Linked DNA regions of Tamandua tetradactyla. The protein of the gene in region 2 purifies or fractionates together with the protein of the main gene of each other region. This does not show direct contact. Links are inferred from orthologs where the notes say so. Each region holds a gene or a part of one and is shown on either strand. Other genes may lie near its edges.

Region 1 (7,214 bases), on a different chromosome or scaffold from region 2:
TGTGCCGGCAGGGATGGAGGCAGCTGAGGCAATGGGTGTAAGGGTGGTGTTGCTGCTGCTGGTCTGTCCCAAGGAAACACCCTGCATTGGGGCCAAGGTGATTGTCTGGGCCTGTGGGTTCTGAACTTGGAGGTTCTGCAGCTGAAGAGTTTGCCAACTGACCTGTCCGTTGGGCCCCACTGTTGGTGTCCGGATGATGATAGGACCAGAGTTTGGAACAGCCTGAAGCTGGAGGTTCTGGAGGGTTTCCTGGGAGATAGCTTGAGTTGTAAAGGTCTGCCCTGACAATGGTGCAGCTTGAAGGGCCTGGAGGGCCTGTCCTCCTTGAACTAGCTGAGGCTGGATAAGAATCTGTTGTTGCTGTGTCTGCTGGTTTTGCTCCCCCTCTTTCTGTTGACTTGCTTGCAGTGAGCCTCCAGATGTCTGGTTCTGCTGGATGTTCAAAGCATCAGATCCCTGTAGCCCACTGATCCTTTGAGGTGTCTGACCTTGAGAGTTGGTCCCTGCTGATCCACTGGTGGTAAAGTTCATAATTCCCATGTTGCTGGTGGTAGTAGTTGTTGAGTAGCTATTGGCATTGGTGAAAAAGGAACTGGAACTGGCTTGCGATGATACCAAGTTGGCAGAACTGATGGCAGTCCCTGAAGTGACAGGCTGTGAGCTGCTCTCTTGGGACCCAGAGCTGCTGATCGTGACTGCCTGAGAGCTGGGAGTCAAGGTAGCTGCAGAAACGCTATTGACAGGTAGCAAGGTGATGTTCCCATTCAGGGCCACTGGTACATTGGCCACATACTGAGCCTGTCCTGAGAGCACATTATTAGCTAGGCCCTGAAGGGGGACAGCCTGCTGGAGGAGGTTTGGCATAGCAGCAATAATGTTGCCTCCACTTCCTCGATTTGTGATGATTTGTTGGCTTGCACCTGGTATGATCTGTATTTGACCAGAACCATCCTGCTGCACTTGGGCCCCAGTGGCAGCAAATTGCAGCTGTTGCCCATCAACAGTCTGGAACTGTGGAATTACTTGATACTGAATGTTGGGCATCACCCCAGGTAGTCCTGTCAGGACTTGCTGGTTCTGTAAATTGGGTGTAGCAGCCACAACATACTGCCCACCAGAGACTGTGCGATTCTTGGAAGACTCACTGCCGTTGCTGCCACTGGTACTGCTACCACTTTGTTCCTTTGAGGTAGGAGTAGCCCCAGAGGAGGAAGAGATGATCTGCCAGCCATTGGCACCCTGTGAGAGTTGTGTGGCTGTAAGGTCCAGCTCACCTGTGCCCCCAGCCTGGCCTGGCCCCTGGGAGTTATTGCTGTTCTCATTGGGTGACTCAATTCTGCTGCATGTTGCTGCCAACAGGGCCAAAGGGGATGGCTGGGATTCCTAGCCAGAAAATATAGAAAAGGAAAGGAGTTAGTGATAACAAGCTACCAACCCAGGGGGAAGTACATAACATAGAGCAAAATAGTGCAGACACATGAGCAAAAACAGAAACAAAAAGCCAGCCTATCTATATTGCTGAAATTCCTGTCTTTGAAGATCTCCAAGGTAGTCGTCTCTCTGTGCTTACTTCCCCACCTGAAAAACAGTTCTGTTTCTTCCTAAATTTTATTCTGCAAAGAGTAAGGCAATTATCTAGAAGCACTTACATCCCCTCAATACCTTCTTTCATTGTGTCCCACTATCACTTACTTGCCCTCCTCCACTGCTGCTACTGCCAGTGCTGCTGCTGCGAGCCTGAGAAAAGGCACCACCACCATTACCACTGCCCCCATTGTTGCCACCAACTCCTTTTTCAATCTTCACCACGGCTGTCATTTCATCCATGGAGTGATCTTGGTCTAAAAAGAACGAAAAGGCAAACAACTTAAAGTTAAGGGAAGAAACAAGGTAAAGTGAGAAAGGGTAAAGTGACAAAGGAGGCTATGATGAAACAGAAATAACTAAGAGAAAGGTGAAGGACGCCAAGGTAAAGAAAGTGGACTGAGGGAGAAAACTGTAGACTGTGAATAAGCTTAGTGGTGCCAGAACTGGGCCTCAATTTTTCTTTGCACAAAATTAAACTCTGAAAACATTCAAAATATGCTTTTGGGATTGGAACTATGAGGGACTGTGGGCATGTTGAAAGTTTTAAAATAAGAAAAAGTATGCGGGAGAAAAAAAGGAGAAGGAGAGGCAAGGCAAAAAACAACATGTGGGTGGATGGGAAGCTTGCTAAAATTATGGTTAAAGAAAATGGAGGAAAAATACGAATGTATAAAGTAGCAAGAGAAGAGAAGGAGAAACCGGTAAAGAAAAGGTAAAAAATGTGTGCGATGGGGAAACCCGCGAATACAGTAAACCGGTAAAAGGGGTCTGGGGTTAGATATCAGGAGGTTTCGGGGCGGGAAGAGGGCGGGTCCTAGAGGGAAAGGGCGGTTTCGGGGTGAGGGGCGTGGAAAGGGCGGGCCGGTGGGGGGAGGGGAAATGTAGGGGAAGGGGAGGGAGGGCCTTGGGGCAGGCGGTGACCAGAGGGCGAACCAGGGAGGCGGTTGGCCCGGGCGGGGCCTGCAGCACTCGGGCCGCCCCCGCGGCTCCAGCCCCACACAGGAGGAGCCTCAGGCAGGCGGACGAGTAGTGGGGGGTAAGGCCCGTCCCCCGTGGCCGGGGCGGGCAGGGGGCGGGCGAGGCCACGCTGCCCCCTCCCCCGGGGCGGGCGGCCCATCCCCCTCCTCCTCGGAGGCCCCGCCACTGCCCCTTCTCCCTCCCTTCCCTCCGCCCCGGGCGGGACCAAGGCCGCCGCCGCCGCCTCCCGCCCGCCCCCCCTCACGGCGGGGACCGCCCGGTCGGTCCTTGCGCGCGCCCCCTTACTCCCCTCCCACCCCTAAGCTCGGAGTGGACTCATCCTTACCGCTCATGGTGGCAGCTGAGGGACGAGCTCAAGGGGGTCCTGTCCGGGGGGGTTGGGGGGGGCCAGGAAAAACGCGGACGCTGACGAGGCAAGCGAACCTAGACCGGACAGGGAGGGGGGGTTAAGGAGGAGGGAGCAGCGCGCCACAAGCCCGGCCTAGGCTCCGCCCCTTCGCTGCTGCCCCGCCCAATGAGGGAGGGGGAAAGGAGGGACTTGCAGAAGAAAGGCGGGCAGATTATCCAATGGCAAGGCTCGCTTGCGCTCTAGGGCGTGTAATGCAGAGTTGCGTACCTGGTGTCCGCCCAAAAAGACCGCCTTCAAAATTTTAAAAACCAATGAAAAATGCAGGAAGTGAAAGTGGGCAGGAGCTAGACATGACGGGCTTTCAGGGAAACCAGTCAACGGCCAGGCGGGCTCCCTGAGAGGTAGGTATAGGGAGAACTTTGATAGGAGTGACAGACCAACGACCAACCAGAATCTTGGACGTGCCTGGGCAAAGTCCTGGGGAGGAGAAGTAAGAAGTAGGCAGGAATGGGATAGGATGAAGCAGATTAAAACCAATCAGATATCAGGCGGGCAGTCAGGAAAGTTATGATTGGGTAAAATCTGAAAAGAGACAGGTTAGGACTCATATTGACGTGGACGAAAAGCCAATTACCCGCCTAATGAGCTCTGAGGGCGGGAACTTGGAGTGGCCAAGGGAGAATTGGCGTCTCGCTCAGTCATTCGGCCCAACGAGGGGGCTAGGTAATCCAGACACCTCCCTCATATTGACTAATGGGCGTTACTTAGAGCCGCCCATGGTGGGAGGGGACTGGGCTGTGCCAGGAGAAGACCGTCGCCATATTGGCCCTCCCAGGAGACGTCTTTAGTTATTAGGTAGTATGCTTAAACCGAGCTTTCCAACTCCACAGGTGTCAGGCCCAGGACTAAGAAGTCGCTTTTGGCGCGAATTTCCACCCATCCACTCTGGCTCGTTTGAGTCCTTATTTAACAGCCTTTAAAAGGCAACGCTGACGTCTCATTCCTCCCCTGGCGGACGAATGCCTTAGAGTGTGGGTGTAAGCCCTCTGAGTGCAGGCATCACGAAATTTGGCGTCAGCGCTTGCAAAAGTAGTTAACACTTAAATGACCAATTTTGCAAGAGAGTCCAGCGAACGCCATTTCATTAAATTATCCGACAAAGGCACTAGTTTCTTAATGACCGGTTTAGTTTTCAAGAGCTTGTCTTTCAGGCTAAAGCGCGTTAGGGAATCTTCCGTACTCCAAGTCCTGAACTGCTTCTCCGATACCCGCACCCCCGCCCTTAATTGTAAATATCGCCGAAACATAAAGCAAGATAGCCGAGTTACTGCTTTTTATAACCACAGTGATGAAAGAAGATTTTGCACAAGTCACCTGAATTCTGTCCTCCATTTTGCATCCCCTTTACCCTAGTTTTGGTGGAGAAGGCCTGGGTGGCTTGTAAATGACATGAAGTTATTCTTTTAGTACTTGTATCTTGTATGTTGTCACTTTATTATCTGCATTACAGCACTTCATTATATGCTGTCATGTTTTAAAGTCTGGATTCTCCTAAAAGATGTTAAGCCCTTTGAAGGTAGGAAGTGAGGCCGCTGCTGATTTGGACAGGGGCTGGAAGAGAGAAAATGATTGTGGAGTGCCTGCTGTATTAGATACCTAGGTCCATTAGGACTTTGCATTTCTTAAGTAATTCTTATAAGGAAGATAGAACTTAAGTATTTGGGACATTATTATGTATTTTACAGGGGAAAAAATTGGGGTAACTTGGCCAAGGTCACAAAAATAAGTTTGTAGGTGCCAGATTCCAACCCAGAGTAATCCACAGAAATTTATTCACAGTTCCTTGTATTACTGTTTATATAAATGGGCTTAATTAAAAAACTGTTTTAAAAACTTTTATTGCTACCTTCTACCTCCTGAAAAGAAAATTTCTGCCCATACTGCCTGCACAGCTCAATCTTCTTTGTACACCTTTATTATAAAACTCATCACATTACGTACAATTCCTTGCATCTTTCCCTGGATTAAAGTTTCCAAAGACTAGTCTATATCAGAATCCTATGGGGTATTTCTTAATCAGGTTCCTAGACCCCACCCTAGACCTAGTAAATGTGGGTTAGAGGGTAGAATGGGTCTTCAGAATATGATTGGGAGAGGAGTGTGGGGTGGGGGTGGGGAGGTGGTTACTTTGTATTACAAATATTCCACATCCATGACTGTTCAATAGGAAGTTCTCTAAAGTGATGCCTTCAGCCTTGGCCAGTCCAGGAATGGTGTCATCTGACTTCCTCATCCTGCGAATTTCCTCGCAGACTGTAAGTTTTAAACTGGCTGCTGAACCTGCCTGTGACCTTGTGCAGCTCGGTCCCATTGATCTGGACGGGAGTGTGGTCCTTGGTGCCAATGGTGAAGCTGCTGGCGGAGCGTTGCCGCGGCACATACAGCTCCGCGAACTCGCCGGAGTGCTTCTTCCCGTCAAGGCAGTGCCTGGTGCCCACGATAACGCACGGGAGCCGAGAAAGGTTTGAGAACATGAATTTTTAAGTGGCTTTTTCAAGTAATTAGTTCCTAAACCAGAGTTTGGTAAATAGTAAGGGAAGAAACTGGAAGGAAGAAACTTCCTGGAGGGAAAAACCAGCATTACTCAATCTTGTAAACCATGCTCTGGAGATTCTAAACAGCTGTTTGGCATATTCAGCAAAGGGCCACACCTAAGCTGTCTAGGGCGGGGGAAAGAAACTAACATTTATATTGTCGAGCTTAATCCTTTCACCGATTGAAGAGATTATCATCCTTTTTTACAGATGAGAATACTAAGGCTCAGATCCTTTAGTTAATTGTGACTGTTCTGTTCAGCTTCAAAGTCTGTTTTTTTCCGTGGTTCTATGCTGGTCTATGCCTGAAATGAGAAGTAGGCTCTAATTTTATCCCAGGTTCTGAGGAAAAGGCCTAGATTTTGATCCAGAAATACAATAGCCACCTTCCTTTTTACAATCCTTTCCCTTTGTTCCTTCTAGGACAACACAGAATTCAGTGCCTAGCCAGTGAGGCTTGTCCTGGTCATATCCTTCCTTACTGAGAGAACCTGAGAGCTAATGAACTATGATCTATTCTCCTGTGAATTTTCTTTAGATTTAGTCCCCACAACCCCCCCCCCAATTGAATGAATACGTTTATTTCAAGACTTCTCAAATCCTTCACCCATCAGTGTCAGTCTATGCAACCATCTGTGACATCATTGAAGTTACTCCTGTTTTTAAAAAGCAATGTGGAAAATTTAAAAAAAAGTTTTTTTGAAGCAATGTGGATCATTTGAGGATTGTTTTACTTCAGAACCACTCTTATGAACAGACTGTGCCTGGCTGTGTAGTAAGCCTCACATGGGAAAAATGGTGGCATTCCTGTATGCAGTATGGTCTGTACTGCACTTATTCATTATTTAGGCTCATCATCCACTACTGTTCATGGTACTTAGTATTTGTTGAAGTTTCACCCAAAACCATAGGGTTTTTTTTTTTTGGGGGGGGGTTGTCTCCAAAGTCCAGACCTTCTGGGCTGTCAAACAAATTGTTATTCTTAACTTTGATAAGAAGGATTCCTGTGAGCTCTTTCCTACCTCCCCTGGTATGAACATTTGTCCATTATGCATTTTTGTTTTGTTTTTACATACCTCCATGAGAGTTATCTGTTAAGACCCTAGTCTTCCTCAAATAGAGTAGGTAATTTGAGAGTAGGGATGATAGCTTTTCATTTTGTATACTCTCTATCTAGCATGTAGTTGACACAAACACTTAGTGAAAGGTGAAACCTAGTCCCCACCATCCTGAAAAGATTTCCAGATGATCACAGTGCTAAGAATTGATTCTCAGCCTTCATTTGATTGTCTTACACAGCAGGTTAAATCATTCTTCCTGATTTTGAAGCCACTCTTCAGCTTTGGTCAGTTACCCATTTAGCTATCTTATAACTAGGAGTATTTTACAAATTAAAATACACAGATGAACTGCACAACGCAATTAGTGAACCCTAAGTTAAACATGGACAATAATTAATAGTACAATTATAAAAATAGTACAATTATAAAATGTCTTCATCAATTGTAGTAAATGTACACCAGTGCAAGGCGTTAATACTAAGATGGTATGTGGAATCCTGAATTTTATGCATGATTGTTCTGTAAACCCATAACTTTAATTAAATATCTTTGTAGGGTTTTTTTTTTTTTTTGCATGGACAGGCACCGGGAATCAAATCCGTATCTCCAGCAAGCCAGGTGAGAATTCTGACATTCTAATTAAAT
Region 2 (7,013 bases):
ATACATTATAAATAAAATTAATGGAAATAAAAGCGTATTTTGGCAAAGGCTTTAAATTTCAAGGACAAGAAAAAATAATTCTAAAATAATCTTTTCGAAATAAAACATGTTACTATGAAACAAAAATCAGGCAGACTTGAAAATCTTCCTTCACATTACTAAATGTCAGCTTAAAACAGAATCTTTTATATAAAGAAAGGGAAAAACTGACTCAAGAATTCTATATCCAATCGTGTTTTTGTTCATCTCAAAGTAACAGGAAGACATTTTTTTTTACAGATAAGGGCTCAGAAAATTCATCATTAACCATGCTTTTTAGTAAAAAATTATTTTGAAGAGTATTTCAGCTGACTGTGAAGTTAATAAAATAAACTAAAGCATGGAAAAGTTATGCTATGAAAGCAATTATAGTATACATTGAACAAAGTCAAACATAGAAGTAGGTCTAATAATTGTTTCAAGTTTTGATTATAAAAAAGAACACAAATGTCAGAAATTGTTTTTAAAAAAGAATACTGTAAAATTATATATAAAACCAAATAACTATAACATGGGCATAAGTGTTCAGATAATATGAATAAAGACAACGAATTAGTGAGAAGAATGTGAATTGAGAGAAAGTAAAAACATGGGGAAATATTTCTTAGTATTATGTGAAAATGAAAAACAGAAAAGAATGATTTCTAAACCTTTAAGGGTACCAAGAGAACTTAAAACAGCCTTGCAATCTTCCAAATCTACAGAAGATAAAATCAACCAAAACAACAAATGACAGAAACAGAGGAAGCGGCATAAAAGTCATTAAAAAAAACAAAACAAAACCAGAAAGCATAACCCAAGATAGTACAAGACCAAACACTGGTTGTGATAATAAATATAAATTAGTTTTACTCCCCAATTAAAATGATAAAATTTTACCAAATAAGGTTTAAAAAGCAGTCTGTGTGCTGCTTTCAAGACAAGACATAAACCTGAAACAAAACAACAGAACGCAAAGTTTAAAAGAGAATAAATAAAAATTTGTAAGTCAAATTTTAAAAGAAGAGATAGAAGAATTGATTTGACAGAATAGATATAAGGGTCAAAACAATAAATAGTTAAAAAGAAGGTCCTGGGCAGGCCACGGTGGCTCAGCAGGCAAGACTGCTTGCCTGCCATGCCAGAGGACCCGGGTTTGATTCCCGGCACCTGCTCACGTCAAAAAATAATAATAATAATTAAAAAAAGTCCTTTTTGTCATGAATGTTACTCACAACAAAAAAGTTGTGACAACCTTTATACATTGAATAAAGTAGGATCAACATATTATGCCAAAATTATTAGGAGAACATGATAAATGTAGAAAAATGCTATCCTCACAGGAATCTTTAACAGCCTGATCCCAGGCTCTGAAAGACAGAGTGGCCAGTTACTATTTTTTGCCCCACATCCTTTCATCTGGGAACTGCCCCTTCCCCAAGCCATGAGAATGTTTTGGTGGTGTCCAATCAGGAGGTTGTTCGTTCACCACAGAACTGGGCACAGTTAGCACTGTTGGTGTCCCACTCAGATTTATTCGGAACCCTTTTTTACCAGTTCTATGAACCCATATGCACCTTTTGTGTGCTCTGCCACTGACGGTTTGTACCTAAGCCCTTCAGACGCTGACCCTTGGGCACTGGATAGCTTGACTTTGAGGACAGCTCAAAGCGACTGGGAGTTTTACGGTCCTGTAATCTCTCCCTACCTCAGCTTCTCTGGCAGAGGGACAAACTCGGAAGTGTAATTTGCACTCCACAGATTCCGTATGAGGCTTTGGAAACAGCTTGGCTACTTTCCTTCTCTATCCTGATTTCCCCATATCCTTAATGATTTCTTCTGAGAACATGTCCTTAATAAATCACTCTCGACTGAATCCTTGGCTCAAGATCTGCTTCTGTGGCATCGGACCTAAGATAGCGTATGACCTGAGCTGACCAATCAAAGTGGCGTCTCCTTCTAACCCCAGAGCCTTAGTTCCTGGGGTAGGTAATTTAGTAAACTATCAAGTCCTGATAGGCACGCACCCTGGGAGAAGGGGAGTCTACTTCTGTGAGTGCATGTAAGAACCATATAAACCTGGAATTCCAGGCCTGAGAAATGAAAATTGAAGCAAATAAACTAAGAGATGGAGAAAGTAAGACAGTACCAATGGCATCATTTGATTCCCTAGATCCAGCCTTTCCTGAAGCAGTTACATTTTAGAAATCCAGTTATATTAACAAACTAGTTCTTTTAATGTGCTATGCTAGTTTGAATTCTGTTTCTATTATTTACAGTGAAAAGATTCCAACAAAATAGTTCAAGCAGAAAAGAATAAATAAGGTTTCAAAGAATGAGAATAATATAATGGTGAGTTAATAGTGTATAATCTTTGGAAGTGAAATGGACTGTACTTCCTTTAAAAATAAATAGCATACAGACTTCGCCGACTCCTCCGCTCAGCGCTCCACGTGTCGCTTCCGGAGCTCCCTCCCCACCATGACCATCAGCCTTACCGGACGCCTGGGACCACCCGGGCAGCACTCGGGAGCGGAAATCTTTTCCTCTGACCCTCGCGCAGAGCCCGCGCTCGCCCCGTCACGGGCCCCAGCGCCCCTCGTGGATACAGGCAGCGCAACCGCAGGCGCCTCTGCCCTCCGGTGGTTCGGCGCCAGCTGCCAGCCCAGGGTTGGAACCCTGCCAAAACACTCCTCTTCCTGCGCTCACTCTCATCTTCTGCCAGATCCTGACGGTGGAGGAGGGAGTGCCAGCGACCCCGGCACCGGAGGACGCACCCAGCCCTGCGAGCCCCGGGCCCACTCTTGCGCCCCTGGTCCTGCAGTCCCGTAATCCGATCTCGGAGCCCTCCGACTGCGCTCTGGCCCGGCAGCACTTGCCTCCAGCACACCCAGCCGCCTTCTAGGCGGGACACGCGCGCCCCTTCCCTCCCGCCCCCAAAAGCAAACTGAAAATCCTGAGACACACCAGACGTACCTGGTGCGAGGGCGTCTCCCAAACTGGGACTTGATGGCAAATCAAACTCAGTACACAAAGCAGAGACGCCGGCGGATGCCTGGGGTGGATTTTAGGCTCTGACAAGCCTGGGCTAGGCCGAGAGGGGAAAAAGACCGTGTTAATTTATTTCGGGGAACAATACAGAGTAGATCAGCATGGCCCCTGCGCAAGGATGACACGCAAATTTGTGAAGCGTTCCATATTTTAAATTGATAGATCATGGTGGAAATGCATTTAAGGCTGATGGTGATAGATGTTACAGATCTTTTTTCCCTTGAAAATGTTTTTATCTAAATGATAACTTCACGTTTCATATACTGTTGCATGAATCCCAAAATAGGATGTTTCAGAAATAGAGATATTTTAAAGGTGGATATTTAAAAATTCTCTAGTTTTAACATATATTGAATGATATACTCTTTAAAACTGTTCAATTAACTAGTAGTGCAGTGCAGTGATTAGCATTGGGTATGCCTCCCTTTTATATCCTTGCAGTCTCCCGTTTACTCAGAAGTTTAATATTTTCACTTGCTGCTTTACCCCCACGCTTTATCTAACTTCATATAGAAGACTTGTCTAGAATATTGTATGTATTTTTACCTTGTTCCAGTGAATTGCATGCACTAATTTTAACCATAACTTTTTTGTTTGTTTGTTTCATGGGCAGGCTCTGGGAATGGAACCCTGGTCTCTAGCTCAGCAGGCAAGAGTTCTTGCCACGGAGCCACTTTTGCACCGCCCACAAGTATCATTCTTATTTTGACTAAATGTTCTTGTTAAAATTCTGTCCTATATGAGCATTAATTAAATTATTTTATTATAAATAAATTTATAACTTATTGTGAATTATTATTTTGTAATTGTATGTAATTTGCCTTTGTAAAGATCAGAGTCTTTAGGGCTATGTGAAGTATAGATAAACTGTTTGAACTCTAATAGTTTGGAAGAATAGGTATCTTCTACTCAGACAATAGAAAAATATTTCTCAGATAGGAAAGAGAATGAGGACAAATGGAGGAGACGTCATCACAGGAGTTCCCTTTAGAGAACTTTATGCTTTGTCTCAGAATCAGAGCTCTGGGAAAAGGCATCTGCCTAAAGAGGTAAACACTGTGCCCAGAGTGCCAATGATTTAGGATGGTGTGAGGCAGCCCAGTGGTCCTTGTTCTCTTTAAGCATGGCGTGGGAGAAGTGCTGGGAGCTGCCAGAGATGAAGGGGCCATTGCCACAGGAACTAGTACATCTCAGTCTCACCTTGTCTGGGTTGATGACATACAAGGGGTGAGGACCAGTCTGAACGATGAATGTCTCAGCCGGTCAGTGCCTATGTGGCTGACCGAATGAGAAGCAGATGTCCTGTGTCTCACCTTGGCCCCACATAAGCCACCCCAGTGAAAGGGGAGAAGAGAGCCCCAAATTGACTGACCTCTGATGGAATGAGGACTTGTAATAGATTTTTTAAAGTTGATTTGTAGGGAAATAAACTGGATTGTATTTCTGATGCATTTGAGTTGGTGACTAAAATTCAAATGTACTACACTTCTTATTAACATTTGTGTGATGTGGTCAAGCATTCTTAAGAAAGCAGAACTTTCCTTCTTCAACTCTAATACTTTGTGATGGTTGATTTCATGTGGGAACTTGCCTAGGATATGGTATCCAGTGGTCTGGTCAAGCACTGTCCTTTTTGCTTCTGTGAAGGTTATTTTGTAGATCGGCTTTGTGGATATAATCCTTTGATTGCCTCCAAGATCAACAAAGGCAATTGCTCTCAGCAAAGTGGGGAGTCTTCTCATACGATCAGTTGGAGGTCTTAAAAGCCAAGATATCAGAGATTAGAAGAGGAATTTGGACTCAATTTCAGCCTCCCCTGGTGAATTTGGACTAAAGACTCCAGTATCACCTTTATCAGAGTTTCCAGTTTGAAGTATGCCTGCAGTTATGTGCGCCAATTCCTTATAATAAATCCCCAGGATTTATATTATATATATAGATTATATACATGTCTGAACTGACATGCAAGGCTTTTTGTTGCCTTGTTGCAAAATCCTATTTTAGGGTGAAAAAAACCCGATAATACCCTAGTCTTTCCCTTTGCAATTTCATTTGTAATCCAGACAAATAGTTATTTAGAGAAAACTAAGATGAAAATCATGTGTCTGAAAAGAGTAAAAGAGATAAATACACTGATAATTTGAAAATGGAAAGAGTCTTTTTACAGAAATTATACATCGAATATACGAATACATTTTGCCTTAATTATGTGTGTTTTATGTCCACTTTCTCACTTCTGATTTGGAAGTGGAGGGCATTAGACAACTCTCTTTTTATGGATTTGGGAAATGTCCATATATTCTGTTACCTATCACATAGTCAAGATAGGTGAAGTTAATTGAAGAATGAAGTAGAAGGTGTGTTGAAATATATTCCCATTTCCTTTGGGATGGACTGGTTTTGGTTCAGAGGGTGGGAGAATTTGTTATATACCCTATCTTTCTGCATTGCAACTGGTTTTTGAGAAAATCCCATTCCTAATTTGTCATAAGATCTTCTGCAACTATTGCCATTTTTAAAAAGATCTATGTTCATGGACATTTTAATGGAGAGTTGGGAAAAAGCATATTATGAACATCTAATTTGTTTCCTAAAGTCCATGAAAAATATCTTTTAAATTTCCTTATTGTTATACACAAACATAGAAGTACTTTTTATCTCTCTATTTTTAATATTTAACTGACATAAGAAGTTTTACCTGCATTTCATATTGTCACAAGAATGGATGTGTTGCAGTATTTCATTTTCATTTTCCCACTTGCTTTTTAAAATACTTCTTCTGCTCTAAACATTTTCTTCCCTTTCTAAACTACTAGGTATATAGATGTTAGTATTATCTCTTTTTAAGCATATTATAAATGTGTGCGAAGCTGAGCCAGAACAATAGCAAGTAACAAAATGTGGCTGAATGCAATTTGTAGCTTACATGACTCATGTTTAGCACTATAACATTTTAAATTAAAAGTAAAAGAAGGAAGACATCGAAACCAAATCTTTAAAATTCTCATTATATATTTAAATTTCTTTGACTATAGCTATGAATATTTCAAAATAATCCTTAAATTTAAAAAATATATAAATATACTTGATTGAATTCTTTACGTTGTCTCATGTTGTGTAAAAACATTGGATTGTGTTATCTCTATGTATCCCTTCTAGCTTGAAATTTCCCCTTTGAATGGTGGATTTTTTAAAATCCACCAAATTCACAAACTTGTGCAAGTTTTCCTGGGAAATTATATATAACAATTACCAAGTCTATTCTTTAGGACTTTGAGTCATTCCAAACCATGTGTGATTCACTATTTGTTCATCTTCTTGATAAGGTGCAAAAATAAGGGAGGCTTTACCCAAGAATCCATGCTAATATTTTGATGTGTGTTGCTAATAAAATTGTTACACACAGATAAGATAGAATTTTATAGGAAAAGATAAATAGTAAGGCTTTGAATCAGTGTATTTTCAAGTCCTAACGAGTATAACTCATGAGGCCACTTAAAAAATTAATGAAGGGTCTCTTTTCTAAACTACTCTAATTTGTGATTTAAAACATTGATACTCATATAGTGAGCATCTCTCTGAGTAGGAGCACAGAGAAAGAGTCCAGTTAGGGATAAGAAGGAAAGCCTTTAAAATGTAACACTGATCTGGCCTTGTGGCAACTAGGATAATCATATGTTGTTACTCTGAAACCTTGCTCAGAGAGAATCACGTTATTCCTGATTGTCTGTTTGCCAGGTTTGTCTTGCTTCTATTTCCCAGACTTCACAGCTATTACATTTTTAATGATTTTCCCTGGAGAAAAGCATTAGAAGCAAAAATAGAACTCCTAGAGGTTGGTGAAGTAAGAGTTGCCCTGGGAAGAAACTCTCACAGTAGTGGGAATGGGTTAAGAAAAGAAAATGAATTTTTACTAAGTTTTCTTACTCTGTACATGGCACCAA
Region 3 (7,339 bases), on a different chromosome or scaffold from region 2:
GCACAGGGAATCAAACCTGGGTCTCCGGCATGGCAGGCGAGAACTCTGCCTGCTAAGCCACCGTGGCCTGCCCAGCAAACTTTCTGTAACGGTCCAGATAGCAAATATTTGAGGCTCTCTGAACCACATGGTCTCTATCCTGACTATTCAACTCTGCTGTTGTGACACAAAGGCAGCTATAAATAAAATGTAAATCAGTGAGCATGGCTATGTTCCAATAAAACTTTATTGATAGACACTGAAATTTGAATTTCATATCATTTTCACTCGTCACAAAATATCTGAATATTTTTTAGCCATTTAAAAATGTGAAAAACAGGCAGGCCATGCTGGTGCAGTGGCAGAGTTCTTGCCTGCCATGCTGAAACCCAGGTCCGATTCCCGGTGCTTGCCCATGCCAAAAAAACAAAACAGAAAACAACAACAAAAAATGTAAAAACCATTCTTAGCTTACAGCCATACAGGAGGCTGGCTGGATTTTGCTTACGGGTCATAGTATGGCATCCCCTGCCTTAAAGCAACCACTAAAATAACAACAACAACAACAAAAAGTTATAGCTAAAAAGCCAACAAAGGAAATAAAGTTGAGTTACAAAATACTCAGGTATTCCAGAAGAAAGCAGAAAAAAGAGGGAACAGGAAACATAGAACCGGTGGGACGAAACAGAAAGATGATCAATTTGAACATAACCATATCAACAGTTTACATTAAATTTAAAGTGTTTAAACACCTTAATTAAAAGGCAGAATTGTCAGATTGAATAAAAAAGCAAAACCCAACTATATGTTGCCTACAAGAAATGCCCTTTAAATATAAAGACACAAATAAGTTAAAAATAAAATGATGAAAAAGATATTCCATGCTACACTAGTCAAAAGAAAGTTGAAATAAATATTTAATATCAAAGTAGATTTCAAAGCAGAGACTATTACAAGGCTAAAGAAGGTAATTTTATAATGGTAAAGGGGTCAATTAGACAAGAAGACTTAACAATCTAAATCTTTGTTCCCCTAATAACAGAACTTCAAAATACACAAAGCAAAAACTGAGAAAACTAAAAGAAGAAATAGACAAAGGCCCAATTATACTTGGGGATTCAATATTCCTCTCTCTATAACTGGTAGACTGAGTGGACAGAAAACTAGCAAGGATTAGTCGACTTCAACAACCCTATAAACCAATTTGGCCTAACTGACATTTAGAGAACACTTCACCCAGTAACAACACAATGTACACATTCTTCTCAAGTGCATACACAACAATTACCAAGCTAGACCATATTCTGGGCCATTCTGAGTCTCAACAAATTTTAAAGGATTTAATTCATGCTAAATATATTCTCTGCCTACATGGAATTAAAAAAACTCAAGAGAAAGATAGCTGGAAAATCTCCCAAATGTTTGGAAACGAAATGACATACTTTTAAATAATCCATGGGTGAAAGAGGATATCAAGAGAAACTAGAAAGAATATTGAATAAAAATGAGAAAGATAGCTGGAAAATCTCCCAAATGTTTGGAAACGAAATGGCATACTTTTAAATAATCCATGGGTGAAAGAGGATATCAAGAGAAACTAGAAAGAATATTGAATAAAAATGAGAACACAACATATCAGAATTTGTGAGATCTTGCTAAAGCAATACATAGGAGGAAATATATAGTGTTATATGCCCATAATAGCAAAGAAGAAAAGTCTCAAATCAATGGCCTCAGCTTATATTTTAAGAAACTAGAAAAAGAGCTGATTAAATCCAAAGTAAGCCAATAGAATAATAATAATGAGAACAGAAATCAACAAAAGAGCATTAAAACAATAGAGAAAATTAATGAAACCAAGAGCTGATTCTTTGATAAGATCAATATTTATGAAGTGCCCACCAAGTATCAGGCATTGTTTGGGTCACTGGGGAAGCAATAAATGTAACAGACAAAAATCCCTAGGTACACTCCCTTGTGGTTCCTTCTGCTGGAATGCTCTTCTTCCCTGCTATTTGTTTCATTTCTCTCTCTCTCTCTCTCTCTCTTTCTTTTTCTCTCTCTGCCTCTTACTTCCTGTCTTTCTTTCTCTCCTTTCTGTCTTTCCTTCTGTCCATTTGTCTACCCCTACTAGAATGTATGTTCCACAAGGTCATATATCTGTCTATTGTCTTCATTGTTTTAACTCCAGCGCCTAAAACAAACAGTTCAATGAATAATTGTTGAAGGGATGAATCCGTGTTCTCAGGGACCCTATATTCTCTCTTTAAATGTAAGATTTGAAATTAGTGCTCAGAAGGCAGGATCTTAGAAACAGAGGCCAAATATTACTTTCAGAAATCAAAGTATAAGGCTCATAAGTCACCAGCTAAGGATCAAAGATCATCTTGGAGGTTGGAGATCAGGAGGAGCTGGAGTCAGAGTTCTAACAAACGTCTCAGGACTGGAGTCAAAACGTTCAAATCCGGTTTTCAGATCAATGGGAAGGGATGTGGATTCCAGGAGCTGAGAATCAGATTCAAGAAAGGAGAGTCAGAAATGTGTTAGAATCAAAGTTGAGTAAGAGATTGATGTTATCAAAGGTTAGGACTTGGGGGTTAGAGGTCAGGAAGTCAAGGCTTAGAGGTCAGATTTAGTGGTAAGAGGTTAGGGAGCCGGGATCAGACACCATAGGAGAATCAGGTTAAACTGATCTTTGGGCTAGACTTGGGAGTCTAAGATTCACTCACGTGTCCCCATCTTCAGTGACGTAGCCGAAGACGAGGGGAGCCCACGACAGCCCCGGGCCCAACTCCGGACCCAACCCTGGTCCTCCGGGGGCTGCTGCGTCCGGGCCCAGTGAGCCCAGACCACTGTCACACCACTCATCCGCGTCTGCAGCTTTCCCCAGGCACGCGACCCCGGCCATAGCCCCGCAGCCTCCGGAGTCCCCCGCGGCACCCAGCCAGGCTACTGCTGGGCTCTGCCTGGATCCTAACCCTTCCGCCCTGCGGGGAATTCCCCAACACTCCCCCTACTTTGCCCAATCAGAGTGGGTCAAAGCTCTCTCTCCCCGCCCCATTCCGCTCCAAGACCAATCAGAACGTCCTATTGTACTACAGCTTTCGACCCATTCCCACATTTTCCGGGCGCCCTTTACCAACATGGCTGCCGACGCCAGGCCCTCTGGAACTTGTAGTCCGGCCCTCTCATCTCCCTTATCCGAAGAGAAACGCTCGCGGCGTTGTGCTAATCACTCGTATGCGGTGGTCGTGGCTTCTGGGAGTTGTAGTCCTTTGCCTCCTCACTGCCCCTCCCGTTTCCGGTGCCGTCACGGGGCAGAGAGGTCGGTGACAGCCCCGAGGGCCCCGGTCCCGCGCCCATGGCCGAGCCGGACCGTGAGTCAGGGGCCCGGGTGGGAGGATCGGGCCGCGTCGGGGCCTGACAGCAGGCTGCAGGCCCCGGGGCCCGAGAGCAGGCGCGGTGGGGCAGGAGATCGGGCAGCGTGGGGGCAGTGGGATTTGAGGGGCCGTTGCTAAGTGATCCGTGGTGTTTGATTAATGAGTGTCTGGGTCGCGAGAGTTTTAAGGGCCCATTTGCCTAGTGCCCCAAATTGCTAATAATCGCATGTTTCTCGCACTTCGGTTGCTAAAGACCCTCGTTACTAAGGACGTGGGTTGCCGCCGTCCTGGTTGCTAAGGGTACCTGGTTGTAGGATGCCAGGGGATCCCCTGGTGTCCCCTTCTATCTCTTGCCTCAAGTACCTGTGCCTCTCCTTAACTTGCCACCAACCACCCATCCCTATCCCGGCACCTCCTCTTCCAAACCCGGCTCCCAGCAGGGTATCCCTTCCTATCTCCTCTCCTCCTTTCTAAACTTCCCTCTGCCCCTACACACACTATTATGCTTTCCTAACTACTCCTGAGACTTCCTCCAAACCCTTTATCCCTTCCTTTCTCCTCTCTCTCCTCCAAACCCTTCCCCTCTCCAGCTTCTCCTTAAGATCTGCTTTTCCCTTCCCTACCTCTATTCGGTTTTTACCACTCCCCTCACTAGTATAATTAGGTCTTCCTAGCCCCCACTCCCACTTTGAACCCTTTCATTCCACCTTAACCATTCCCTCCACTGTAACCACGTCTGCTCCCCCTCCTCCCCCAGCCTCTGACCCTCTGGAGACCCAGACAGGGAAGGTGCAGGAGGCTCAGGTGAGATGGGGGGAAAGGGTGGACTGGAGGGAAGGAGAGAGATGGATTTGTTCCCACTATCCCACACTAGGCTCTCAGCTCACTGCCCCAATCCCTCGTCCCACCCCAAGGTGCAGCGTCCTGGGGGATGGTAGATTGTGGGGCCTGCCAAAGAAGGGTATACTGCCTCAGTCCCAGGCCTGCCCTTCCAAGCTTACCTCTTTTCTGTCCCCTCCCCACCAATCCTTCTGAACCTCATTCGTGCTGGGCCCAGAAGAGACAAGCATGGGATTTGGTCCCTGATAGAAACCAACCCTCCAGGGTGACTGTGGAGGTAGCTCAGGGTGCTGTGGGGGCCAGAATATACTTTGTGGGGTCACAGAAGAAACCACCCAGGCCCCTCCTTGGAGAAATCCACAGACGGATCTAGGTAAGACTGAGTTATCGACACAATATAATAAGTGAGGAGTGACTTGGAATTTTCCTGGACAAGATGAGAAATGGTGTTCCAGGCAGAGGGAAAGCCTGGAGGCAGAAAAGTATTGGGTAGCTTGATGGCTGGGAATGGTAAAAAAAAAAAAAAAATTTTTTTTATTGGGTACTTACTCTGTCGCAGATATTCTGCTTAGTGTTTTGGGTACATCGTCTTATTTAATCTTCCCAACATCCCTGTGGGGGGAAGGCCTGTCATTGCCATTTTGAGGGAGAGTTGTTAAAGCGACTTGTCCCCTATCCCTTGGCTAGAGGAATAGGGACGCCAAACCTAAGACACCCGGCCCCCTGCCTCATAGGTGCTAAGCAGGAGGTGGTCAGGGCAGCCTTCCAGAAGCTTATGGGCGTCAGCCAGCACCTCCACCTCCTCTGCAGGCAGGGCTGCCCCACGAGCTGGACAGGGCCTGCCATCCTCCCACAGAGCCTCATTGTCTACAGCCTGAAGGAGCCCAGCCTGCTACCAATGCTTTTCAGATGTAGGTCGGTGCAGAGGCCGTGTCACAGTTCCTCACGAAGGCCCAACAGAGGGATAGTGAGGGTAGAAGAGCTTCCTGTCAAGCCAGGGTTTCTCCATCGCCTAGCTCCAGAGTGTGGCTACTGTCACTTGTGGCTCAGAGAAAAAGGTTTACTATTAAGAAGGGACCCTCAGTGCCAGAGAGAGAGACACAAGGATGTAAATTGCAGTGTTGTCTAGAATAGGGCAAAACTGGACATGGCCCAAAGGGCTGTCAGTGGATGGGTTAAGTGAAGGCTGGCACACCCACACAATGCAATCCTATATGGCTGCTTAACCCAACGAGGTGGGTCTGCAGGAGTTAATTCTGTGAAAAACTGCAGAGTGCAGCAGCCTGCCTGGGTGGGACCCATTTCTGTGAAGATAATTAGGTTTTTGTTTTTTTGTTTTGTTTTTAACCACCAATACATTCATTTGAGGGGGAAAGGGGTCAAGTCTTATGAATTTTTTTAACGGGGTAAGACTAGAGACACTGATCGGCAGAACTTCTGGATATTCACAACTGCCCAGGTAACCAGTCCTGCACAAGTAGGGTCGTCATTGAACAGGTGGGCATTAGTTGAGGGGGACATGTTCTGAGCAATTAGGAGATTTCTCATTCCAAAGAAGGTGCTATCCTCATATCAGAAAAGTAGAGATAATGAGGTTTTATTTACAGAGAAAAAATCTGGAGCAATTCATATTAGAAGCTTAATAGTTATCTTGGTGGACAATGGGTGAGAAGCAGTACCCCAAGTTGTGCATTTTCTAATGTTCAATGTTTTTGCCAACCTTGTGTAATCTTAAAAAACAATAAAAATGTAAAAATATGGTTGGACGGGGGTGGGGGTGTCCTATTAAAAAGGCTCAGAACCAGGGTAGTGAGTTGGGGGGAGGGGAGAATGGTCCGATAGGTTTTTAACAGGAGAGTGAGGTAGTCAGACCACAACCCATCCCTGAGCTAATAGACCGCAGGCAACCCGTCCAATGGTGGATGGTTCTAGAGCTTCTGCTAGGCCAGACCCTGTTCCAGGAGCTGGGGATTCAGGGATGAACACAGCAGACAAGTCCCTGCTCTCCTGGAGCTAACATCGTGGGTACTCCATAGCTGTTCATGGTTGGATGCTTAGACTGGAGAAACAACGAAGGGCCTGTGAAGGAGAGGGTAGATGGGAGGCAGAGAATCAGCCCCAGAGCCCAGGAAGGAGGCCAGGGCAGGGCCTGGATGGGAAAGGACAGGGGGAGCAGCTGGAGGGTATTCAGCCTGAGTGGACATCTGCAGGGCTGATGAGCTGTGATGGGAAAGCAAGGGCATGGGAGGCATTCAGGATGAGGCTCAGGATTCTAGTGGGGAGCCTGGGGGCCGGTGAGGCTGCCCTGAGAAGGGGCTCGAAAGGAGGAACAGACTTGGGGGAAACACGGAGGCTAGTTTGGGACACATGGGAGTGATGGCCCTGGGGGTCACCCAGAGACAGGCGTCCAGGAGGCCACAGGGCACCCCCGGATCTGAAGACAAAGAGGTGGGCGTCCTCAGTGTCTAAGCTTAGGCCATGGGTGTGGGTGAGAGCGGTGGTCTGGGGATGGGGGTGGGGTGGGCAGGGGAAAAGAAAGCAAAGAGGGCCCAGGATGGAGTCTCAAAGATCAGCTATTTGGGAGCTGAGGGGAGGGGTCAATAAAGGAGAGGGAAGGGTCAGAAGTGGAGGCTATCTAGGGCTTCAAGGAGGAGGGTGACAGGGCCAGCAGGGTGAGGACAGGCCTGTGACTTTGGTGAGGTTGACTTGAAGGCCAGACATAGGACAGAGGCAAGGACCGGGGCAGGTGATGACCACAAAGCATTTCCCAAGCAGTTAACCCCCAGGATGCTGGTCTAAGCCCCTCACCCATGTCAGCTCATACCCTCTTTTTGGCCACACTGAGGCGGGCTCCATTTCAGAGACAAGACACACGGAGACCCAGAAACGTGACGCCACTGGCCCACAGTTATACACTAGGGAGCTACAGGGTCAGGTTTCCCACCCAGAGCCTGCATGCTGACCCCAGCACTGTCCTTGCATCACCCCTCACCTCCTGAGGACCACCTCCCCAGCCAGAGCTTCTCCCCAAACCTGGATGTCACCCCTACCCTCCTGTCTCCTTCCCTGACCCTCCTCTTGGCCTGGCCACCTCATCCCACCCCTTCCAGGAGTCAGGTTCAGACACTGAAGAAGGAGCG
Region 4 (7,162 bases), on a different chromosome or scaffold from region 2:
ATTGTAAATGATGGACCACAGCTAATAGTACAATTATAAAAATGTTTGTTCATGAGCTGTAATGAAGTACCACACTAATGCAAAGTATTAATATTAGGGTAGTATATGGGAACTCTGTATTTTATGCATGATTTTCCTGTAAACCTACAACTTCTCTTAAAAAAAACAAAGTCCATAGGGATATTTGGGGGTAGGAAGTTAGTGTCAGGCAAAGCGTGTATATCTGATCTTTGGGGGGAGGGCCAATCACAGTGATCTGTCTGGGGTCATCGGATCCCTCATCTGGGGAAGAAGAGCCACTGCTCCCACCCCAGCCCCCTCCCCCCCCATGCCCCTGTCCTGCCTCCTTTTTTCTACTCTTCCCTTTCTAGGTGGAGGTGAGGGTGGCTTTCTGACTGCCTTGGCTTCAGAACTATCCAGCTTGACCCTCTCAAGATCAGTGAGTCCATCCCCCCTGCCTGAACAGAGAAGGGGTCGTGGTCCTGAAGAGGCGGGGTTCGTGTTCACCCCCATGGCAGAGGATGAATCTCACTCAACGACTCATTGCAATATCTCCCACCCATACTTTTTGGTAAGTTCTGCCTTACAGCTAACTCCAACTCCTCCTGTTCTGCTTCAGCTCATTCCACCTAGTTCACTCCTCACTGCAGAGGGCAGAGGTTCTAACCCTGGCCTTTCTCAGCCCACACCCCATTTAGTTGTTATAATCCTCCTCCTGCCCCCACTCCCACTGCCTTCTCATTTCCATTTCAAGGGGCTTCATAAGAGGGACAGCCTAACTCCTTCTGGCTAACCCGGTGCTCCCAAGAGACAAAAGATCACCCACTCTTCTACATTCACACACACTGAAGGTTCAAGGAAAAGAGGGGGAGGAAGGAGGGTGCTGTGGAAGAAGCCAGCTGACCAGCTGGTTACCATGGCAACTGGACTTTTTTCTTGAAGATGAGCCTGACTGGGGTGGGCAGAGGTGGGGATTTGGGGCATGACAAAGGGAACCGGGGAACACCAGAAGAGAGAAGAGGACTAGAGGGGCCTGGGCTCAGAGAAGAACAAGGATGAGGAGGTGAAATCAGAGTCCTGATCAAAATCAAAGTCCCTAGGCCATCCTTCCAGGTGACACTGCCTTGCTCCCTCTGCCCATTGCTACACTGTCCTCAGGAGGGTTTCCTGTCAAGAGTGCAGGCACTAGTGCTGGGGACAGTAGGTGACTCAATGCTGACCTCGTGTGGCCAGGAAAGGGGTTGTCATATGCCTGTCACATTTCATGGCTCAGGCCAGACACCTGGTGGGGTTCCTTAAATGTAGCCTCTGGGTGAAAGAGAGAAGCGGTCACTCTACACTCCTGAGTTCTTGTGTCCTTGCAGAGGGCTTAGATGTCTCCATTCCACTGATAAAGCAAAGAAGGTTTCACTGAAAAAAAATTTTTTAAGCTTTGCACTAGAAACAGGGAAAACTGGCTCTGCACTTTCTATTTGACCTTTGGCAAGTCAACTTGCCTCTCTGAGCCTCAGCTTCCTAACTGTATAATGGGGATAAGAATTTCAGACTTTGAACGGAGGCAGTCCAGGTAACATATATGTGTATATATAGATATAAAACATAAAATTTCTCATTTTAACCACATTCGAGTACACAATTCATTGGCATTAATTACATTTACGATGTTGTGTTACCAGCACCACTATCCATTACCACAACTTTTCCATCACCCCTACTACTGTACTCTTGAGGATGAGTATCAGCCTTTGAGGATGGGAGAGGAACATATCAGGAGACTGAGAACGTTTGAAGTCACACTTGCCCAAAGGGAAGGGGGTGACTCAGTTCCCTTGGGCTTTCCCACCCCAACATGTTATGATAAAAAGCTCTCCCTGGTGGCTGCTCAGTGCTTCATGCTCCACAAATGCTCCACAGAAGCCCTCCACTTTGGGTCTCCATGGGGATGGAGAACAGTGGGTCATCTTCTCCCCATAGCCCTCTGTGGTAGTTAGATTCAGGTGTCAACTTGGCTAGGTGAAGGTGCCTAGTTCTGTTGCTGTGGACATGAGCCAATGGCATGTGAACCTCATCTGTTGCTGATTACAATCTGCAGTCGGCTAGGAGGCGTGCCTGCTGCAATGAATGATGTTTGATTTAATTGGTTGGTGCTTAACTGAGAGAGCTCAATGTGGCACAGCCCAAACAACTCAGTATACCTCATCTCAGCACTCACAGCTAAACCCAGGCCTCTGGAGATGCAGAAAGGAATCACCCCGGGGAAAGTTGTTGGAACCCCAAAGGCCTGGAGAGAAGGTCAGCAGAGATTACCCTGTGCTTTCCCACGTAAGAAAGAACCTCAGTTGAAAGTTAGCTGCCTTTCCTCTGAAGAACTATACATTAACTAAATAAATTCCCTTTTATTGAAAGCCAATCTATCTCTGCTGTGTTGCATTCCGGCAGCTTGCAAACTAGAATACCCTCCCCCACTCTCCTCTCTTCATTTACCCCTCAGAGACTGGGTCTTTCTCCCTAGTCCTTCTCCCTTCCCACTCCCAGTGTGAATACACCTTCCCTGCTCCTTACCCTACTGCGTGGGCCTCCTCTGTGTGCCCTCACCACACTCTGTTCTTATCTTGTCTTAGCCCCAGAGCTCTGTGTGTATTTGCCAAGCAGCTTTTTAAAGATTGGCACCATGGGATGTTTGCTGCTGGTGGTGGTTGGTTATTAGTGTTACTGTGATACTTGGTTATACCTCCAGCAAAGGGAACAATGTTAGACATATAGAAGAAACTCATAGATGTTCGTCTCAAATGGATGAATGGGTGGATCAATGAAATGAGGTTGCACAGGGAAAAGCAGTGGGGAAACTGGTTTGTAGCTGTCTACACCCACCCCCCAATGTTGGAGATGGAAAAGGTAGATGTTCCCTTGGGATGACTCTCTAAGAGCATCGCTGGGCCCTAGGTTGCTGGTGTGTGGGGTGGGGGTGGAGGGAGAAGGGAAGAAAGGATAAACCATGGGGCACTGATTTGGGACTTACCATGTCCTGTCCTGCCTCCATTTCCTATTCTTCCCCTTCTAGGCAAGGTGAGGGTGGTTGGGGGTTCTCCTAAGGCCTCCCCTGGGCCCAGGGATGCAGACACAGGGAAAGAGGAAAGCTGTGCTGGGACTGTGGCTGTGGCAAGGACGTCAGCAGAATATATGTCTGCAGCTTCCTTTCCTGGTCCCACCACAAGGAACTGAACTTCCCTAACCATTCAGAGTAACTAGATGCTGCAACCACCCCAGGCCAGTGTTTCACCCCTGTGAAAAAGAAACTCATGGCCACACTCGGTTTTTTAGACACCATTCTACCCGAGAAAACCTGCTTTCCCAAAACGCATCCTCATGCCCAATTCTATGTGATCTGTGTGATTGGCACAGGAGACCCTTAGCCAAGACCCAAGGGGAGAAGTGCTCCTTTCAAGACTTTTTGGTGGTGGTGATGGTGTTTCCCCACCCAAACGCCTGGGCACTCATGCGGAAAGGTGAGAAAGCAAGAGAAATTGAGTGAAATAGGAAGCAATGATTGCCCGTCCCGCCACCCACCTGTCCCCCCCCCAAGACGTCCAGCTCATGCGGGCAATTAATAGATATTCCTTTAGAAACGAACACACAAAGAGGTGAATGAAATGAGTAAAGTGAGGGAACAATGAATATATGGAATTAGTGAATGGAACGAAGAAGGAAAAGAAAAAGAGTGAGTGAAAGAATGAATGGGCAAATTAACCAACCAACGGGTGAGTCAGGAACGGGTAACCCCAGACTCGAGCCAACTCAGAGGGCGGGGCGAGGGGGATTCCGTTGGGGCGGGGCCTCCGTCCGGAAGCGCCCGTCAGGGGTGGGGCCACCGGGAGCGCTGCACCCTCTCGCGGGGGTCCGAGGGGCGGAGCGCGAGAGGGAACCGAGCGGGGAAGCCCAGCTGCTCCAAGTATCCGCTGCGGTGGATTCGATCAGCGCTAGGATCCTCGTCCTCGCTTCTCGCCGACCCGCTGGGCTCCCTCAGTCCAGGTAGGAGGCCTCTCGGGGCCTGGCGCCCGCCCCGCGAGGCGAGCCCGCAACCCGGAAAGGCGGCGCGGCGGCGCCGGGAGCTGGATCCTGCTGGGTCCGGGCCCCCGCGGGCGGGCGCCGCGAGCATGTCCGAGGCGCGGAAGGGGCCAGACGAGGCGGACGAGAGCCAGTGCGACTCGGGCATCGAGTCTCTGCGTTCTCTCCGCTCGCTGCCCGAGCCCGCCCCCGCCGCGGGTCCCGGGTCCTCGGAAGGCGGCGGCCGCCAGCCCTGGACCCAGCCCCCGAGGACCGCCGAGGAGCCACAGGAGAAAGAAGACGCGGATGGGGAGCGGGCTGACTCCACCTATGGCTCCTCCTCGCTCACCGAACCCCTACCCTTGCTGGGGGGTCCCGAGGCCGAGAACCCGGCCACAGGCTTGCCGCTTCTCCCCGCGGGGGCGCTGAGCCCTCAGCAGCTGGAAGCCCTCACCTACATCTCCGAGGACGGAGACACGTGAGTACGGGGGGCGAGGCTGAGGTGGGACCCCTTTTCCTCCGGGAGCCCCAGCAAGCTGGACACCATGCTCTGAGGCTCGCGCTAACTACAAACTTAACTCTCAGTCCACTTTTGGGCTCTCGCTGAGCCCAGACTAGAGGGCCTGTCATCATTCCTCTACCTTCCCTTTCAGGGGTGCCCAGAGCCCGCAGGGCTCTTATGCAGGAGGCTAGTACCCCAGCCAGCAACCTACCAAATAACCTACCCTGAGGAAGAGAAAATTCCCCTGACCAGTCCAGTTGTTTTGTTTTGTTTTTTTTCTTGATGGATGGGGGCAGGCATCCTTGTTTGCTCAATATCTGGGATGCCCCACTCCTGCCAGCTACAGGTTGCCATTGGGGACTGGGAGGCTGGGAGAAGTGCTGGGCTGCAGAGCTGAGCTGTCTCTGAGGAGGAGAGCCAGACTGGGGCACCCTTTCTGCAGCAGACAGGCTGCTGGCTGCCCCAGCTTACTTCCTCTGCTGAGAAAGGGGAAGTGAGGGCTCGAGTCAGCCTCCTTCACCCACTCTACCTCCTGAGCCCCCAATCCTCCTCACTGTCCTGTCTGACCTCCTCACTTCACGTTTCCTCCCCTAGGCCCAGGTGGAGCTTGATGGGGACTGGGCCAGGTAGAATCATATGTGTGAGGTCTAGCCTGCTGAGGATTTACCCTTCAGAAAGTAGAAGACACTGACAGGATAAGGGGTGGCTGAGGTTTGGGAGTTAGAAACAAAGTTGGGGGTGGGGTGGGTAGGGGGAGCTGGGTTCCCAGATCAGGGCCGCTGGGATGAAGGGGAGGCAGGGATGTCTGCCCTGACCTGCTTTTTTGGAGGTGCAAGGGGCCTAATCCTGGGTAGCCTTTGGCAATGATGGCCTTTGGACCCGGTGCTTGGGAAAGTAGTGACTCCCGGTCTTTTTGCACTCTGTGCCTGGGTCACCAGCACTCAGGCCCAGAACTCCAAGATTTTGGAGGTGCTATGTAGGAGCACCTCCTATGGCTGGCCTTTGAGTCAGGGAGTGAGGGGGATTTCTGACCCTGGCCTCCCCTCTTTGCCTCTCAGCCCCAGCTTTTACCATCTCTAGTTAGAGTCAGGTGTTTGGATTCAGTGTGAATTGTAGAGCAGTGGGAGGCAGGACTTCCCAGGGGGTCCCCAGAGGGGAGAGGGCACTTTCCTCTCCCTGAGGTGCCTGGGGAGGAGCCACTTTCCTCCTTCCGAGGTATAGAAGTGGAAGAGGAAGTGGGAGGAGGGGAGAGTGCGGGAGAGAGGGAGGTGGCTCCAGGAATGTGACCCAGAGAGCAGGCCCTGGCCGAGGGGATTTCCAGAGTGGTTCCTCCCCTCCCCGTCACTCTCTCCTGGGTCTCCTGGGCCTCGCCTGCTGCCAAAGCCAGCCCCCTCCCTCCTGAGCAGCCCCTTCCCCAGCCCAGACAGGCCTTTTAGCCAAGCTGCCCCTTTCACTAATGCCCCAAGGCAGCTGTCCCACCCAGACCCTCGAGCTCCGGCTTTCATTTTCCTCACCTGATGTGGGGGAAACCCCATGGCTGGAACTTCCCCTCTCAGCTGCCCACCTCACCCCCAGGTTAAAGTTCTTGGCCCCCAGCACACACACATTTTCTACACTGCCCAGACCTCCCCTCAGAGATATTTGCAGGAGTTCAGAGCCCCTAGTCGAGCCCCACCTGGTCTGTCCTATCAGAGGAGTAGCCCTCTTGAACTTCTGTCTGAGGGCCGTATGATAGGATGCTTCACTCTCTCCTTGCTCCTCCTCCAAGCTTTGTTTTCTCTCCCTTGGAATGTGTAACATTGCATTGCTGGGGTGAGAGTGACCCCCTACCTCACCCACTTCTGTCCTCCGTTTTGGGGTGGGGGTAGGTGGGGAGCTCAACTTTGGAAACCCCCTCTGGGCTACCCCATCAGCTTTCAGTTTGGCTTTGAGCTACAGTTGATCTAGCTGGGCCGTTGAGGCAGAGAGGATGGGGTGTGGGCAGGGGACAGGAAGGCCCTTGTCCTGTTAGCACCCTGCCCACACTACCAGCCTGCAAGGTCCTCTTGAAGGCCAGACATGGCAACATGGAGCTCCCACTACAGCATCCTGACTTATCATCCCAACTCTCACTTCCTAGTCCAAACTCTCACTTTCTGTGCCAATCTTTTGGGTGGCTAATTAGTGGTTGTGTGTTCCTTCTAACCCTAGGATCCCAGCCTATCTTTTCTGGCCTGGGCCCTGACCTCAAGTCCCCCCTCCCCCCAGGCTGATCCACCTGGCAGTGATCCATGAAGCCCCAGCCGTGCTGCTCTGTTGCCTGGCTTTGCTGCCCCAGGAAGTCGTGGACATTCAGAACAACCTTTACCAGGTGGGCAGAGAGAGTGGGCTGTGCCCAAATACCCTATCTCCCCAGGTACCATCCCTAGCAGCCATTCAAGATTCTGTAGTGTGTTCAATCAGGAAACAGACACCAGACACTGGCCTAGAAGCCGAGGACAAAGAAACAAGTAAGACACAGCCCACAAGGTACTCGTAGACTGGAGTAGAGAACTCATGTAAACACCTAATTACATAGCTTAGTTGCAAGCTTTGTGATAGAGACGCATACCAGCTGCTGTGGGATCCAGTATCTGT

What was found.
Region 1: the proteins of NFKB1 (region 2) and SP1 purify together in Homo sapiens (affinity purification with western blotting, with the first as the bait; 3 studies listed by BioGRID). This does not show direct contact. The link is inferred for Tamandua tetradactyla from reciprocal best matches to the Homo sapiens genes NFKB1 and SP1.
Region 3: the proteins of NFKB1 (region 2) and NFKBIB purify together in Homo sapiens (affinity purification with mass spectrometry; 7 studies listed by BioGRID and IntAct, counting the BioPlex papers as one, with this or other methods). This does not show direct contact. The link is inferred for Tamandua tetradactyla from reciprocal best matches to the Homo sapiens genes NFKB1 and NFKBIB.
Region 4: the proteins of NFKB1 (region 2) and NFKBIE purify together in Homo sapiens (affinity purification with mass spectrometry; 4 studies listed by BioGRID and IntAct, with this or other methods). This does not show direct contact. The link is inferred for Tamandua tetradactyla from reciprocal best matches to the Homo sapiens genes NFKB1 and NFKBIE.

The regions. Positions count from the first base shown.
Region 1 is NC_135333.1:114,748,251-114,755,464, reverse strand, and holds the start of SP1 (transcription factor Sp1), read right to left. Parts: upstream 3,005-7,214; 5' UTR 2,898-3,004; coding exon 2,891-2,897; exon of another isoform or gene 2,866-2,890; intron 2,634-2,865; exon of another isoform or gene 2,509-2,633; intron 1,842-2,508; coding exon 1,693-1,841; intron 1,384-1,692; coding exon 1-1,383. UniProt on the Homo sapiens protein: Transcription factor that can activate or repress transcription in response to physiological and pathological stimuli.
Region 2 is NC_135350.1:21,621,240-21,628,252, forward strand, and holds the start of NFKB1 (nuclear factor NF-kappa-B p105 subunit), read right to left. Parts: upstream 3,012-7,013; 5' UTR 2,995-3,011; intron 2,669-2,994; exon of another isoform or gene 2,517-2,668; intron 1-2,516.
Region 3 is NC_135342.1:25,108,058-25,115,396, forward strand, and holds the start of NFKBIB (NF-kappa-B inhibitor beta), read right to left. Parts: upstream 3,009-7,339; 5' UTR 2,888-3,008; coding exon 2,709-2,887; intron 1-2,708. Other genes in the region: SIRT2 (NAD-dependent protein deacetylase sirtuin-2), read left to right, coding at 3,123-3,356, 7,310-7,339. UniProt on the Homo sapiens protein: Inhibits NF-kappa-B by complexing with and trapping it in the cytoplasm.
Region 4 is NC_135331.1:101,876,879-101,884,040, reverse strand, and holds the start of NFKBIE (NF-kappa-B inhibitor epsilon), read left to right. Parts: upstream 1-4,139; 5' UTR 4,140-4,154; coding exon 4,155-4,522; intron 4,523-6,793; coding exon 6,794-6,896; intron 6,897-7,162. UniProt on the Homo sapiens protein: Sequesters NF-kappa-B transcription factor complexes in the cytoplasm, thereby inhibiting their activity. Sequestered complexes include NFKB1-RELA (p50-p65) and NFKB1-REL (p50-c-Rel) complexes.